Caenorhabditis elegans: one gene and its partner. The protein of the gene in region 2 interacts with the protein of the main gene of each other region in a pairwise test. Each region holds a gene or a part of one and is shown on either strand. Other genes may lie near its edges.

The links. Proteins that work in one complex are often made in the same cells at the same time.
Region 1: the proteins of akt-2 (region 2) and T28C6.7 interact in a two-hybrid assay, tested with the Caenorhabditis elegans proteins (one large-scale study listed by BioGRID).

What each region holds. Positions count from the first base shown.
Region 1 is NC_003282.8:8,824,659-8,831,895, reverse strand, and holds the start of T28C6.7 (Kinesin motor domain-containing protein), read right to left. Parts: upstream 4,093-7,237; coding exon 3,943-4,092; intron 3,896-3,942; coding exon 3,682-3,895; intron 3,378-3,681; coding exon 2,902-3,377; intron 2,848-2,901; coding exon 2,455-2,847; intron 2,348-2,454; exon of another isoform or gene 2,208-2,347; coding exon 2,114-2,207; exon of another isoform or gene 1,956-2,113; coding exon of another isoform or gene 1,764-1,955; intron 1,623-1,763; coding exon of another isoform or gene 1,455-1,622; exon of another isoform or gene 1,434-1,454; intron 1,315-1,433; exon of another isoform or gene 1,169-1,314; intron 212-1,168; coding exon 1-211. Other genes in the region: T28C6.8 (Membrane protein BRI3), read left to right, coding at 1,455-1,622, 1,764-1,955; col-3 (Nematode cuticle collagen N-terminal domain-containing protein), read right to left, coding at 5,924-6,742, 7,002-7,082.
Region 2 is NC_003284.9:14,145,097-14,154,043, forward strand, and holds akt-2 (Serine/threonine-protein kinase akt-2), read left to right. Parts: upstream 1-2,603; 5' UTR 2,604-2,610; coding exon 2,611-2,705; intron 2,706-2,908; coding exon 2,909-3,017; intron 3,018-3,909; coding exon 3,910-4,110; intron 4,111-4,153; coding exon 4,154-4,273; intron 4,274-4,497; coding exon 4,498-4,695; intron 4,696-5,166; coding exon 5,167-5,358; intron 5,359-5,468; coding exon 5,469-5,597; intron 5,598-5,644; coding exon 5,645-6,007; coding exon of another isoform or gene 6,008-6,052; exon of another isoform or gene 6,053-6,284; coding exon 6,285-6,464; 3' UTR 6,465-6,872; downstream 6,873-8,947. UniProt on the Caenorhabditis elegans protein: Acts downstream of PI3 kinase age-1 and kinase pdk-1 in the daf-2/insulin receptor-like transduction pathway. Essential role in regulating developmental arrest at the dauer stage.

The sequences.
Region 1 (7,237 bases), on a different chromosome or scaffold from region 2:
TCACGCAGTCGTTGGCCAACATCTCGTTCTGATTCCAAAGCTGATGAAATCTGTCGAATTCGTTCTTCTTGTTCAGCTAAACGGCGTTCACGTGTCTCATCAGCTCCTCCGTGCGACATTTCAAGCTCACAAAGACGAGCCATGAGTTGTTCGTTTTGCTCGACGAGAACACGACATTTCTTGTCTAGTGCCTTTGTTTTCAGACGGTCTTCTGAAAAAAAACTCGCATTTATATAAAATCCCAAATCTGGCGTTGCTGGTATTAAATTAAACCAACTATCATTTGATTATTTGAAAAAAAAATGAAACAAATTTCAGCTTGAAAAACATTTCGAAAACCAAAATTTATTTTCCCACTGGCATAATATTATTCGGTATATTCTTTCTATGTTTATAAGGTCAACACAACGATGAACACAAAATTTTGCTGATCAAAAGCAGCTGACTCTCTTTCTCTTCATTTTCCGTCTCCCAGTGTATGTTGACAATTGGTGGTGATCACATAAAGACCCCTCGACTTTCATTTTAATTTTAAATCGAAATACACATTGATTTTCTCTCATTTTCTCTACTAATACTTTTAAATTAATTTTACTGTATGTCTTTTAACACTTTTCTAATCAATTTGACACAATGATTTTGCCCCAATTTTTGTACGACTGGAATGTGGTGACAAGTGATTAGTCATGTTATAAAAACCTAGTTGTTATATAAATTGAATTCTATACATTTGAAAAATTTCACGAGGACAATAGAAAACTGCAGAAAACATTTTTTTAAAGCAGTTTTATACTCACATCAAGCAGATATTTTGATGTTGATGTGGTAGGCTCCTAAACACTCGTTTCCTAATTTTTTTAAAGTTCGAATTTCCTTTTAGTAGTACATTCTCATTTATATAATTTTGGAATTTGAACGATTCATCTTTTTTCTATGTTTTTTCTAAACAACCTTTTCATGAAAACGCATTCGAATGGCAATAAGTTCTGAGAAACATGCGTTTTCCTAGAAACTAGTCATGGTTTTGCGGTGGCGTGTTCCTCTCTGTTTCACTGACCAATTTATCATCAGACCTCTTGTATTGTCAACACAAAACAATGTTTCTCTAATTTCTCTATATGTCTGCCTGTCTGTCTGTATATCTGCGTGCCGTTTCTCTCTATGTCTATCTTTAGTTGATTGTGATACTTTAGGCGAAAACAGTGAGGTGGCAGTCGAGCGGATACTTTGTCCTTTCTCTCCCATCGATTATTGACACGCTGCGTCCCACATTAATTTTTTTTTGCATTATTGGAACACGATTCGATGTGGCAAGTGAGTTTAGGCATAATTTATTCTCATAAACGGAGAAGCACGTATGAGCTTCCAGATATGAAACTGCTGCACACCTTCTTCAAACACTTTTTAAAAAGTTTTTAAAGCTTAAATTTCAGATGTAAAACTTCAAAACCATCATGTCATCCACTACATCTTCTAATCTGTCATGTCCGGCTTGCACTCAGAAAAAAGTGAAAAGCCGTTTCAGTTGGCGAGCAATTTTATACGCAATTTTTTGCTTTCCGTGTGGAATCTACTGCTGCATGAAACGGAAAACATACTATTGCACACAATGTCAATGTGATGTGAGTTTTTTCTTTCAAAATAAAATTAGAAGGCTTAGTTCTTATGAAAATGAGAGCTTTAGTTATAATTTCTAAAGAAATGTATTGGTGTTCTGCAATAGCTAATGTCTTATCTCGTTTTTAATAAATCAAATGTTGCAGGTGGTTAAACGTACTGAAACCCGTGCTATTTTACCAAGAACTCCCGGATTGGGCTACAACTTCCGTTTGTACGAATCTACAAAAACGGCTCTTCCAGCTAGTTTTGCTGCATATCGTAATCCGGCAATGACAGCATCATCCACAGATTCTACAGTTTCCACCACACTATCAACTGCACCAATTGTGGATTAATTTTTTGAATTTTTGATTTCGCCAGGGTTTCAAAAGGGGTTTGTTACGTTTAAGTAATTTTCATAAGTAAATATTTCCGATTATTCTGATACTTGATCAGAAGTTTTAAATGATACTTATCCCATTTTTCTTTACAAAAAAGTCTCCTATCGTCTCACCATTTGATTTCTTGTCACTTTGCTCTTTTTCGCGTTCCAAAGCCAATAGTTTCGTCTCGAAAGCTTTTGATTTTATCAGTGCTCGATGATCGACCTGTAAATTATTTGAAATATTTTTCAGTTTCTTTTTCTGTTTGATTTTGGTCAATTAAACTACGGGTTTCAGTGTGATTAATTACATAACTTTGAAACGTATATTTCCAGAATTTTTCCGTTAATAAATATAATACTTTTTCTTTTTTATAGATATTTCAATTGACTTTTCTCTAGACTAGAAATTTCGAGATGTTAAAGATTTTCTTATGGAAAAAATGAGCTTCAACAGGAAATAAAAATCTTACCTGTGAAGCACCCAAATTCTCTCTCAAAAGTCCAATATGTTGCTCATAGATGACAATATCAGCTTCAAGAACTTCAATAAATCTATCCTGTGCTTGAATGGCATCCTTCAATCGGTCAATGTCCTCAAAAATAGCTTTTTTCTGACATTGATTGTAGTTGATAGCGGATTCAGCTTGAAGGAGATCTTCAACCATCAATTCCATCAGCTTTTTAGATTCGTCAACTTCTGAGCTCAAGGATCGTTTGGCTACTTCACTAGCATCTAACTCTGTTGTCAACTTGTGAACTTTTTCTTTCAAATGAGCAACTTGATCACGAAGAAGAGCATTTTGTTCTATTTCCCAATTTCGAGAAGATCGGAGAGTGTCAACTTCTTCTTGAAGACGATCCCTCTGAAAATTGGAAACGTTTCTATACAAAATGATATATTCATCTATTTCACTTACCTCATCTTCATATTTTCCATTGATATCTTCAAGTGTAGTTTCCAACTCCTTGATTCTTGCAGTCGCCGCAACCTTTGCCTTGAGTCCAGCAGTTTTTGCCTCTTTTGTGTATTTGAGAATTTCAGATTCATAGTCTGCTTTCATTTTTTCAACAGATGAGTTTAGTTCGATAACTTGCTGACGGAGTAAAGCATTTTCAGATGAAGCTTCTGTTAAAGCAGACTCGAGAGCGTCTGAAGTTGAAGAAGACATTGAAATGGTGGGATAGCGGGAAACAGATGTAGATGGAAAATTGGAAGATGTTGATGTTCCAATTGAAGAACCATTTGGATTTAAATCAAAAGTTACACGTTTTCTTTGATGTTTCCTATGGATTCCGTCAATATCTGGAAGAGCGCTCAGTTTGCTAGATGGATCAAATGGAGGATCCAATGGTGGAGGAGAGAAGGTTCCCGATGAACTTGAGACCATCGTTTCTGAAAAATAGATCAATTCAATTCCGTTAAACTTTAAAAAAAAGTTTTATATCGTCACAATTTTCAATTTCTAGCCGTGTGCTCAATTTTCGAGCTTATTTTCAAGAAAAAGAGGAGCATACAAATTACTTGGGCAAGCTACCTTTAGATTACTGTAGGTTACAGTTGTCCTAACACGTCTAAGATCAGCAATTTTCCTGTTTGGGAATAATAAAAAAATTCTAAAAATAAAACTGAACGTCATATATATTCAGAAATGGTGCATGACAACTTCATTTTTTTTTAACCAAAAAACTTTACTCACTTCTCTGTGCAATGACATGACCTGGAGATGAACTTCTTGCTCTCCGTTCACTCTTTGAATTTGATAATGGTACTGAGGAATGAGCCATCAAAGAAGGCTCAGTTTCTGTCGACATATCCTTCTTGTCTCTATTCATTTCTTCAAATTTTTGTTGAACAATTCTCATTGCTTGATTTTTGACTGAAGCAACTTCATTGTGCTCACGAACTCTTTCCTAAATACAACTCCAATATGAAACCACAGAAACAGAATAATTCTCACCTGTAAGTCCAAAATTTGCCTTTCTTTATCCAATATCACATTATTTAAATCTATAATTCGGTTATCCTTATACACCAGTTGTTGATGAACCCGTTCATCGATCCGTTTGTCGGCCGATTTTTCTTTTTCTTTGGAGGTTTTGTCCTCCATTTCTGAAAAGTATTATATTTGTATTTAACGTATTTAAAAAGTGACAGTATACTTCAAGGACGTGAAGAAACAATGAGAAGAAAAGAAATTTGAAAATTATAGTTTAAAAAAAGGGATGACGTAAAATTATTCAAAAACTTTTTAAATAATTTGTAAATCCAGAATAAATTTTCTGCGAGAGATTGGAGAGAGAAACAGAGAAACCCCGTTCCACGTAACGGAGAGGCGCTGAACCCACGTGGAAAGCTCACATTTTAATCTCACGCAATAATATGCGTCTCACGTTTTTTTTTCAAAAAGTTTTCCGAACACATCCTTTTTTTTCTAAAATTTTTTAATCTTCCGACACTACTTGAGAAGTCTTATAATGGATGAAAAATCGTTTTTTAAAGTTAATAAACTGATTAGGTATAAGGAGCATGCCAAAAATATATTCACTTTCAGTTTTTTGATAATGTTGCAAATTATTCAAAAGTATAACTCGTAACCTAGTTATCAGAAGTATAACTAACAAAATATTTATTTTTGTATTTAAAGGTTGCTGAAGTAAAATAATTTTCATTTACTGTTTCATTTTTTAACTATAATAATAATATACTCTAGAAATTCCGCTTTTTTTGGTACTAGTGAATATAATTAACTTATTTGAACAAGTATACAAAAGTAAAAATAATTTGCTTCTGAATTAGCTTCTGAATTAGTTTCGGAAATAGTTTCGGAATTCATTTTAATCATTCTCAACAATATCAAAAACCAAAAAAGGTTGCTTCTTTGGCTAGCACTGTGAATTAATACAGCAATTTAAATATAGGTTATATAACTAAATTTGAAACATAAGGAAGAATATATGAAACGACTTAAAACAGTTACAAATCTACGTGCAATTTAATTCCTGAAGAATCAAAAATGAAGTTTTAACACGAAATTCTACAAAAAACTGGTTCGAATTAGTTCCTTTCGAGAGACACGTCGACCAACACGGCACCCGCGTTATTGATTTTCTGCTGACGCACATTCGTTTGCGGTGGCGCATTTCACTTTCGCGGTGACCATTGACATAGTGTATGGGCCAAATAATGGGAGAGCTCGGTGAAATATTAGTGACATTAAATACGGATATTAATTACAAAAAAGAAATCGATGGTAAAAATAACCAAATGACTATTTTGGCATGAAAAAACATGACTTTTCAATTTTTATTTTCTGTTTTGGAACTCTTCATGTAGGCCATTTTAAATCATTAGTTTTCTGTGCGGTGTGTATTCAGAAAAGTTAAAGTAAGCATTGAAAACTGTGAACAAAACGTTATAAGAACACGTCTCATTGTCTGTCAGTACATGAGAGCACGATGTAAAAAAGCAAAGCACACAACTGATATTTTTGTTAAAATAATTTCTGTCTTACTAAAGTTTTTGGGTCAAGATAGATCAAACAGCATCGAGAAGAAAATTTACTAAGTTTGGTAACCCATGAAACACAGTTCTCTTTCTATTTTCAAAAGGCATTTGTGTCTATTAAGCTCATCAGTTCTTCTGAAAAATCAGCATTACTGATAGCATAAATTCTAGGCTTTTCAGGTCATTGTAATAATTCGATAAACCATTCCAAATTTCGAACTAGGAGCATTTTTAAGAATATTGTTTCTTTATACTAAAACTAATAAATATTTTGTACAGAATAATTGTGTATCTATGGAATCGTTATTCTTGCTGCGTAATTACTAGTGACGAAATTTTCTTGTTCTGAATTAGTTATTTTCTCTGAAGTTGAACAAAAAAACACATTAAATTGATGAATAGAGAATATTTTATTGTTGAATTTCTCATAAAATTTAACGGCGAGTTCCGTCCTCGAAGAAGACTCCTCCGTCGATGGCGCAGTACTTTGGACAGATTCCCTTCTCTCCGGCACCTCCGGAAGTTCCAGCTTGTCCTGGGGCTCCTGGGTTTCCGTCGGCTCCTGGGGCTCCTGGGTTTCCATTTGGTCCCTTTGGTCCTGGGGCTCCTGGTTGTCCATCGTGTCCTGGCTGTCCTGGGGCTCCTGGTGGTCCTTGTGGTCCGGCTGGTCCAGCTGGTCCTGGTGCTCCTGGTGTAATTGGCTCGGATGGAGCGTCTTGTCCTGGCTGTCCTGGGGCTCCTGGGGCTCCTGGGTTTCCGTTTGGTCCAGATGGTCCCTTGTTTCCTGGGGCTCCTGGTTGTCCGTCGTTTCCTGGGGCTCCTGGGTTTCCGTTGGCTCCGGCATCTCCGGCTGGTCCTGCTGGTCCTGGGGCTCCAGCTGGTCCGGCTGGGCATGGCTTGCATGGTGGTGGGGTAATTGGCTCACATGGTTGCTGTGGTGGGCGTCCTGGGTTTCCTGGAAGTCCTGGTGCTCCTGGCTTTCCTGGGCGTCCTGGCTTTCCTGGGGTTCCAGCTGGTCCAGCGGCTCCTGGAAGGCAGCAAGCGTCGCAACCTCCAGCAGAGGCAGATCCTCCGGTGACTCCAGCATCATATCCAGCTTGACGGGCGGTACGGTTTCCAGATGGGATGGCCTTAAGGTGGTTGACCTCGGACCAGATATCCTTGGCGGATCCCTTGCAGAAATTGATCTCGGAGTGCATGGTTCTCTTCACATGGTGGACATAGTTGTACACCATTGGAAGAGTGACGCACACCTGAAAAATTGTATTTAGATAATGTTTTAAATAATTTGGTTTTAAGAGTTTTAAGAGAGAACACGTTATATCTAGAAATGGCGAATCGTTCTCACAACTAAAAAGGTTTTTAAAAAATTTTACAGTTTCAGTGAATGTATATGGGAATCATTGCTACCTAGTTACGGTTCAGTAACTAGAACACAATAATCGAATTAGTGTTCGTTTGTTTACCAATCAGCTTATAGTTTTTACAGATATCTAGAATTATAGAACTAACCGAGATAACGGCGACGACGGAGAAGGCGACGGCCGAGTAGGCGACGAAGCGGTAAGCTTTAATACGTTGTTCGAGATCCATGTTGGAAACTGAAGATTCTCAACCTACCACTACCCTTTTATACATTTTTCTACCCTTTACAGAAGGGGCGGCCATTTCTACAGGTTTACAACCTTGTGTTTGTGTCTGTGTTAGATGAAAGGATAGAAAAAACGAAGCAAAAAGGAGGAAGAGAA
Region 2 (8,947 bases):
ACGTTGACTCTTATGCTTGTTTGTATCGAAAATAGGATATGTTTTTTTAATTGATGAAAATACGATAATTTTATAATTTTCAGCTTTTACACGTGTTTTTTGACAAAAAATAGTTTTTCAAGTTTTTGATAACTTTCTGTTAAATTTTGAAAAAAATGGGTCGGGGACATGACCCCGACCCAAAAAGTGGGTCGGGGCCGCAACCCCGACCCAAAAAATGGGTCGGGGACGCGACCCCAACCCGGCCGACCCAAAAAAAATGGGGCGACCCACTCCACAGGCCTAATAACAACAATGCAGACAAAATATACAAAATAGCAGTATATTCGAATAAAAATTCATATCTGTCCACTGCGAGAAGAACGAGTAATTAATATGTCTTTTTTTTTATATTTTGCACGTTTCTGTTTTTGTGGTGTCCTTGTTCTATATAAAGGACTACACACCAAAAAACAACTGAATAATAGACGTTGTTGACATGCTTGTTTGTGGATTTTCAGAGATCAAATCCCACGTTTTCGGTTTTTTTTGTCGTTTTTTCGGAATCTCTAAAATGTATATTCTTTGTTTTTAGTAGTTCATATTATTATAAAAGAAAAAAAACTGCACATCTGGTAAACAATATAGAAAAAGAGAGTTGCGAAACTTCAAAAATTTGTTATTTAATGTCTTGCGACACTTAAAAAACCGGCATTTTACAGTTTATGTTGTGTTTTTTGTTTGTCGGTTGTCTTATCATCTTGTGGTTTTGGATGCATTTTTCACTTGGCAAGTTGTTTACCACTTTCTTCCGACCGCATGCTTTTTTTGCTTCGTTGGTTTTTTCAAAGTAAGACGGTTGTCATACAACAAATATCACAAGGAAATCACATATTTCACTGTTTCAACACCATGCCCATTTTACTCCAGACAAAAAGTTACCTATGTAGTTCCACTAGACGTTAGGAAATATTATACATTTTTGAAATTCATTTTTATTTTAGAGATTTCAAAATTATAGATTTTTACTAAAATTGCACGGAACGGCGGAAATAAGTAGACGAACGCCTACAGTCAAAATTCACAGGAATACCTCGTTAAATTATTCCGCTTTAAATAACTAAAATTGTATATAACATCACACTTCTACTTCCAGTGAAATACGCCTCTTTCTGCTTAAACTTTTTGTTCAGTTAACCAAAAGAATAGAGATTTGCAGCAAAGGTGGAGTAGCTCTTGTGCACGTGGTGGCAGGCAGTCCCATCACGGTCTGATCTACAAAACATGCGGGAATTTTTTCCCCCAAAAAATATGACGTCAGCACACTCTTAGCCATGCGCATTCAGTTGAAATGTCTGCGTCTAAATTCCCGCGAATTTTGTAGATCTACGTAGATCAAACAGAACTGAGACAATTTGACACCACGTGTCAGTGGAAATTTCATTATAACGCATTTATGATATTACAAAACAATAATACAGTCACTTGAATCTTTGTTTAAGGTGGTTTATATAATTTTCCCCAAGTTAAATTCGAATAATAATTTGTTTTGAAGAGAAAACAAGTTACTAAATGTTATTAAATTGTGAGCAACGTATTGCGTACATAAAATAATTTTGCTTTATACTTGATCCACCAGAATTCACATTCCCTCGTTATTTGAAAATGTTTAGTTTCACGCACATGTTTCTCATATTTCATTATTCCAGAATTTTCTTCTTTTTTTTTTTGAAAACAAATCTCGCTTTCCAAAAAAATCAATATTCAAACGCAACCTTTCTCGTGATGCTGTTGACGGGGGGAGAAATAGTGTCTGAAGTTGTTTTCGTCCTTTTTCCTGCCGCAGCAAAAAAGGTCACATCCCCTCTCTTCGCTGCTATCTCTATTTCTCTCTCATCTCTCTTGCCGGCGTTTCTCTGCTTCTCCGCTCAAGTTTTGTCTGCAATCTTTTCCTTCTGTCCTTTTCCTCTGTTTGCCACAATACGTCACTAGGGGTGTTTGTTTTTCCCATAGTCTTTCGTAGCCAACGACTATTTTCTTCTTTTTTTTTTCGTGTTTTATCAAAGCTATGAATTCTTAGTTCGTTAGATTTTTTTTTGGAGGAAAAATTGTCGTAGAACCTAATTAGTGTTGAATTAAAAAAATTAAACTTCAAAGCCTTATTGAAAATATGATCAATTAAAACTAAATTGTTATAAATGTTTCATAACCATGAAGTTCAAACTATGTTTGTAAATTTTTAAGATGTAATGGAAAAGTTGTAATATTTAAGTGCTCGTGTAGTATATCTGCCCTAAAAATTTTTGCCAATAGGGTTTCCACGTGGTGTCAGAATGTCTAATTTCGGCTTGATCTACGTAGATCTACAAAAAATGCGGGAGAAGAGACGCAGAGCTCTCAACTAATTTTGCATGGTTAAGAACGTGCTGACGTCACATTTTTGTGGCTAAAAAGTCCCGCATTTTTTGTAGATCACACCGTAGTGGGACACGTGGTTTTCCATTTTTGGGGCAGGTATAGTACATAAATACCATAATTTAAAACTACCTTTTAATTGTATTTTTTTAACGACGTATTTTTCTTTTTTAAAACAAAATCTCTGAAAGAATTATCACTATTTACAGCGTAAAAATGTCTACTGAAAACGCCCATCTACAAAAAGAAGACATTGTTATTGAAAGTTGGCTTCACAAGAAAGGAGAGCACATTCGTAATTGGCGCCCCAGGTAAGTTTTTCATTGTTTTACCAGGCCTATGTATCCAATCTAGTACAGTAGTTTTAAGTTTCATAGCTACTGTCCCTTATGAAAAGATATTCAAAAAGTTTTCACTTTAATTGCACTGAATTGGAAATGAAAATCTTCCAACAGGAAACCAAAACTAATTTGGAAATAAATGAAAATTAAATCCTAAGATGTCAGTATTTTAGGTACTTCATCTTGTTTCGAGATGGAACGTTGCTTGGATTCCGGTCAAAGCCAAAGGAAGATCAGCCGTTACCAGAGCCACTGAATAATTTTATGATTAGAGACGCAGCGGTAAGTTTTTGAACCTGTAGATGGTTACTAGAAAGTTTTCAAAATCGTTGCTTTTAAAGGTGGAGTAGCGCCAGACAATTTACTAAGTTTTTGCCACCCATTATTTTGGAAGTCGACAAAAAGAATTTTTTCCAACATTTTTTATACTGTATATCTGTTTTAATTATATCCATTGAAACATTGTAAGGGTCGGAACCAGGGGTGTGCGGCAAATCTCAAAATTTACCGAGCTCGGCAAATTCGGCAAATCTATTTTTCCATTATTTGCCGAGCACGGCCAATTCGGCAAATTTGCCGTGCTTAACAAAATCGGAAAAATTATATATTTTTTGATATTTTTTGGAGCACCGAAACTACTGAATTCTTAACACACCTCTGGTTTCTGAACAAGTTAGATGTAGTGTGTCTGCTTAAACATCAAAATAACTCAATTTGTTGTCATTTTACTAAATTTTTGGCGAAAAAATCAACAGTTTTAGTCAAAATTGTACTGTCAAATTTTTGACGTGTGCGGCAAATTTCGAAATTTGCCGCACACCCCTGGTCGGAACATTCGACATTGCTTTCGATTTCTTCAAAAACTCATACTTTTCAAAACTTTGGCAATTTGCCAAAACTTTGACCGGAAATTATGAAAAATCTAAAATTTATTGGAATGCTTCATTATGATATTCGGACATTTTGGATTATTAAAAATGTGTTTGAACAAAATCTTCCCTGGCTCTACTCCACCTTTAAGCAGAAAGTTAGTACCCCAGTAATATACATATGTAGAAATCCCTCTTTAGTAAAAATTTGAAAACCTTAGCTGAACTTCAAATAAGTTTTTAAGTAATTGCCAGTAGGCAGTTTCCATATTGAAAACCGCAACTACCAAAATGCTTTATTTCAGACGGTTTGCCTTGACAAACCTCGACCAAATATGTTTATCGTGCGATGTCTCCAATGGACCACTGTCATTGAACGCACATTTTATGCGGATAGCGCCGACTTCCGTCAGATGTGGATTGAAGCAATTCAAGCTGTATCCAGTCACAATCGTTTGAAAGAAAATGCAGGAAATACCAGCATGCAGGAGGAAGATACTAATGGAGTATGAAAGTAAAGAGATTCAAAATTTTCATGAAATTTTTTAGAATCCGTCTGGAGAAAGTGATGTGAACATGGACGCAACAAGCACCCGTTCGGATAATGATTTTGAGTCAACTGTAATGAATATCGACGAACCAGAGGAAGTTCCAAGAAAAAATACAGTGGTAAGTTTCAAAATCCTGCCAACAAATCCACGTATTGATATGTGGAAATAAGAGGTTTTTAAAGAAAGTTTTTTGAGTAAAAATGATTAACTCGAAAGGCGCAACAAGTTTTTTTTGGTTGACAGGTTGAGCGAAACTTTTTTTTCTGATTTTCCGCTAAAAATTCAAGTTTTGCTTTGTATCTCTATTATTTCTTAAATGTATGTAGTTATTTAATTTTGCAGACGATGGACGATTTTGACTTCCTCAAAGTTCTCGGTCAAGGAACCTTCGGAAAAGTTATTTTGTGCAGGGAGAAAAGTTCTGATAAGCTCTACGCCATTAAGATTATCAGAAAAGAAATGGTCGTTGATCGTTCTGAGGTGGCCCACACTTTGACTGAAAATCGAGTTCTGTATGCTTGCGTTCACCCTTTTCTCACGGTATGCTTATTGGTCGAAAAAATATTGAGTCGGTGTACAATGTTGGCAGATGTCAGTGAAAATTGAAGTAGATGATTTTTTTCGTGAAAAAATCATGTTTAGAGAGACGGATAAATGCACACTAGGATTTCAACGATGGCGCTACTCTCGCCCGCCAGCACCACAATACGCCCCACACTCCCGCCGCCCTCACAACATCGCCTTTCTCTGTTGCACGTAGCTATAGTGGCGCGAGGTCCTGCGCGGCGTCGGCAGCAGTACACAGAGTGTGATAATGCTGGCGCATGGGCGTGCCGAAGTAGGGCGGGCGTTTCCGTGGAACCATATTTTTTTTCTCTAAGAAACTCTGAAATACATATTTCCTATAAATTTATCGATTGCCATAACTTTACAAATATATCTTACTTACAATTATTTAAAATATTTGAATTCCCCAGTTGTTGACACAGTGCCACAAATATATTTTTTCAGCTACTTAAATACAGTTTCCAAGCACAATATCACATCTGTTTTGTGATGGAGTTTGCAAATGGTGGCGAGCTGTTCACCCATCTTCAGAGGTGCAAAACATTCAGCGAAGCACGAACAAGATTTTATGGATCGGAAATCATACTTGCTCTTGGATACCTTCATCACAGAAATATTGTGTATCGTGATATGAAAGTAAGTAGAAGCTTTTTGAGAGGGGTTATCACAACTTGAAGTATTTGTCAGAAATTTTTGAATTTCACAACTTTGATGTTTTTTCATTGTTTTTTCCATTGTTTTTTCAGCTCGAAAATTTGCTTCTCGACAGAGATGGTCACATCAAAATCACTGACTTTGGGTTGTGCAAAGAGGAAATCAAATATGGAGATAAAACAAGCACCTTTTGCGGAACACCAGAATACCTTGCACCAGAGGTAAAGCCTTTCAATTCTCGCGTCAAGTTATTAGTCTATTGTTTCAGGTTATCGAAGACATCGACTATGACCGTAGTGTTGACTGGTGGGGAGTCGGAGTGGTCATGTACGAAATGATGTGTGGACGGCTTCCATTTTCAGCAAAGGAGAACGGCAAACTCTTCGAACTAATTACGACATGTGATTTGAAGTTCCCGAATAGGTTAAGCCCAGAAGCCGTAACATTACTATCTGGACTACTCGAAAGGGTCCCAGCTAAGCGGCTTGGTGCCGGTCCTGATGATGCACGTGAAGTTTCGAGAGCTGAATTTTTCAAAGATGTGGATTGGGAAGCAACATTAAGAAAAGAAGTCGAACCTCCATTTAAGCCAAATGTGATGTCTGAAACGGACACGAGTTTCTTTGACAGAGTACGTTACGTTTCAATTCTTTTGAAAGTTTCAGAAGCAATATGAGTAATTTTTAGAGTAAACGATTTACAATTAGGGCAAAGTGTTGTTATTTTTAGTACAGTTTTAAAAAAATGTATGCCAACGTACATAAGATTTCATTTAGTTTTTTTACTGATACTGAAACACAAACAACACTTTGTTTAATGACTAGGATTTTCCAATTTTCATAACAGTTTTCATAGTTTCTAGAAATAAGAGAACCAATGATTCAAAAATGATATTAACATATACTCAGGAGTTCACATCAATGCCGGTCCAACTGACGCCTCCACGTAGAGGGGAAGAACTTCCGACAGTTGATGAGGAAGAAGAATTACAAGCCAACTTCATACAATTTGCGTCATACTACGTGTCGGGAAGCTTGGAACGATCTTATGATACGAACAGAAGCGCTGACAAATACGAAATAAGATGATTTTGTTTTCAACAATTTTTTGTGTTTTCTGTACGTTTTTTTCTCATTCACTCAATTTTGTCAACATTTCATTGTCTCCTTTGAAAACTTGTTATCTCTTTCATGAACTTAACAAAATCTCTTTCAAACATTTCAACCTTTCCAAAAACTGAAACTTTGCGTAGAGCACATTTCGTGTTGCTCACATCCTCTGGGCTAATTTCCATTCCTTTCCTGTTAAAACTCCCCATTTCGCATCACTTTTTTGACAATGCTCTTTTATCATGTTTTTCTGTAGTACTTGATTCATATACCCATCTCTCGGGTATATTTAAAACTTTTAAAACACAGTTCCTTTTCTTGATAACATCTTTTTCTTGATATTTTGTCGCCGACATTTTTTCTCGGGAATGAACCTTTCTCACATGGATGACTTAACAGTACTTTTACATTAAGACAAATACTCAGTTCAAGTAACAAAGAAAACTTTTATCAGAATTTATTTAGTTCAGTTTTTGAATGTCTAATAAAAAAGTGCATTATATCTCAAAACTTTCGAACATAGAAAAACGAATGCTTTTAATAAGTTGTAATTGGAATTGAAACAGATTTCGAGAAGTGAAACAATGTTCGGGGATCCTGTGGAAATCTGTCATGCCATACGAGAAAGTACATAGCAAAGTTTTCGATTAGAATAGTTTCGAGTAGACCATCACTTCTCTCAATATCGAGTCCATATGTGCAATCCACAAATTCAAGATCATCACTGAAACGACAATTTAAAAAAAACTGAATTTTCAACTGGCAGGCTTAAGTTTAGACATATGTTCCGGTTAAGTGTAAGGCTTGGGCTTAGGTTCAGGTTAGGCTAAGCATTAAAATTGAAATCAGGTGTCGGCTTAGAAAGCTTAAGTTTCGACTTAGCTTATGTGGTTTTAAAGTGTAGTTTTTCTTTTTATTTTTTCCCTGTTTTCCCCTAGATTTTAAGCAAGAATAATGCATATCAGAATGATTCCCTCCATTTTTATGACTTGAAAATTCCAGAAAGTTATTATTTGGAAAAGACCTTAATTAAACATACCAGAAGATTCTTGCTCTACGTTTTGGATTCCATTTGGAATATGATAAACCTTTCAATAATTCGCCCGTCCAATTATGCCACCAGTAGTTCAATTGAAGTCTTCTCAGTTTCGGCGAATTCCCGGCCAGCCAGTAATGAATTTACTTATTCCGTTTTGTTGCCGAGACTGTATTGAGATCATAAAATCTCATTTTCTCGCAATCCATCATTTTCAAATCGTCTAGTGTTAATCCTGGGCCTTTTTCGATGTCCAATCGTGGAATATTGGCCCACTTAAATGTGAATATGCTCATAATTCAGCAAAGATATTTTCAACTTACCAGCTTTCTATCAATCTTGTCCTTGTGTAAACAATAAGTCAGGAATCCATATTTCGAATCGAAATTCTTCAATATAAATTCCATATCTTCAGTGCCAAAGTACGAATGTCCGAGAAGTTTTAGAAAATGGCATTTCCGAAACAAAGGGTGGCTCAAAGCAGATTTGAACTCCCCAAAAAGTTGATCATGGTCAATTGCCAAATCGACATGATCGATTGAAAACAATCCGTTCAAATAATCCAAAAGACTAGTCAACTGAAAGTTGTCATAGCCGACCAAATTTAGATTGTCTACCTTTCTTTAGTGAAAATTATCAAAATTAGAAAATAAAATCAAAAGCATAGTAGAAAACTTGTCCAGGAACAGAGGAAAACTGGATTTCCATGTGCAAAAACTAAATAACCTATCTCCGCGAAAAATGATCGGATAGAGCTGTGATTTGAGATTCCATTTTGAATCATTCTATTAACTCTAAATTTAACATAAAAACCGAAACGATAGTGGAAAGTTTGTGAATTTTATGGAAAAATGCAAATTGTTCAAGATAAATGTTCATTTTTCGATTTTTGATACGATTATCCACCTTTTTTGGAAAAAAATTATATTTTTCGCTTCCTCTCGATGTATTCAACATTTTTCCAAAAAAAAATTGGAAAAAAAGCAAGACTAACAGAGATTTGACCGGAACAATGGTGAAAACTGACCGAAAACACACCAAATATGAAAGGGGGAGGTGGGTGTGTGTGTGAGAGAAAAGGGGGAATGTGCAGAAATTTTGGCAAAACTTTAATTATCGTTTTAAAAATAACGAATAGAGATATCACAATGAATTTGGATACTATGGATAGGTATTGGGAAGGAGAACTTAAGTTTCGAGTCTCAAATGTTTTCGATTGAAACTCGAATTTTCCTTCAATTTAAAGTGGTTTTCGGCCAGTACTTCGGTGTGCGCAAAAACAAGCAGGCTGTGGTTTTCCGCTTGTGGAGCCGACAGGATGCTCCAAAATCAACCCCCTTTTAGATGAACACACGTCGCTATATTTTGTGAATGTGGAGAAAAAAGAATTTCAAAATTCGGTCCAGTGAGAGCCGAGATATAAACG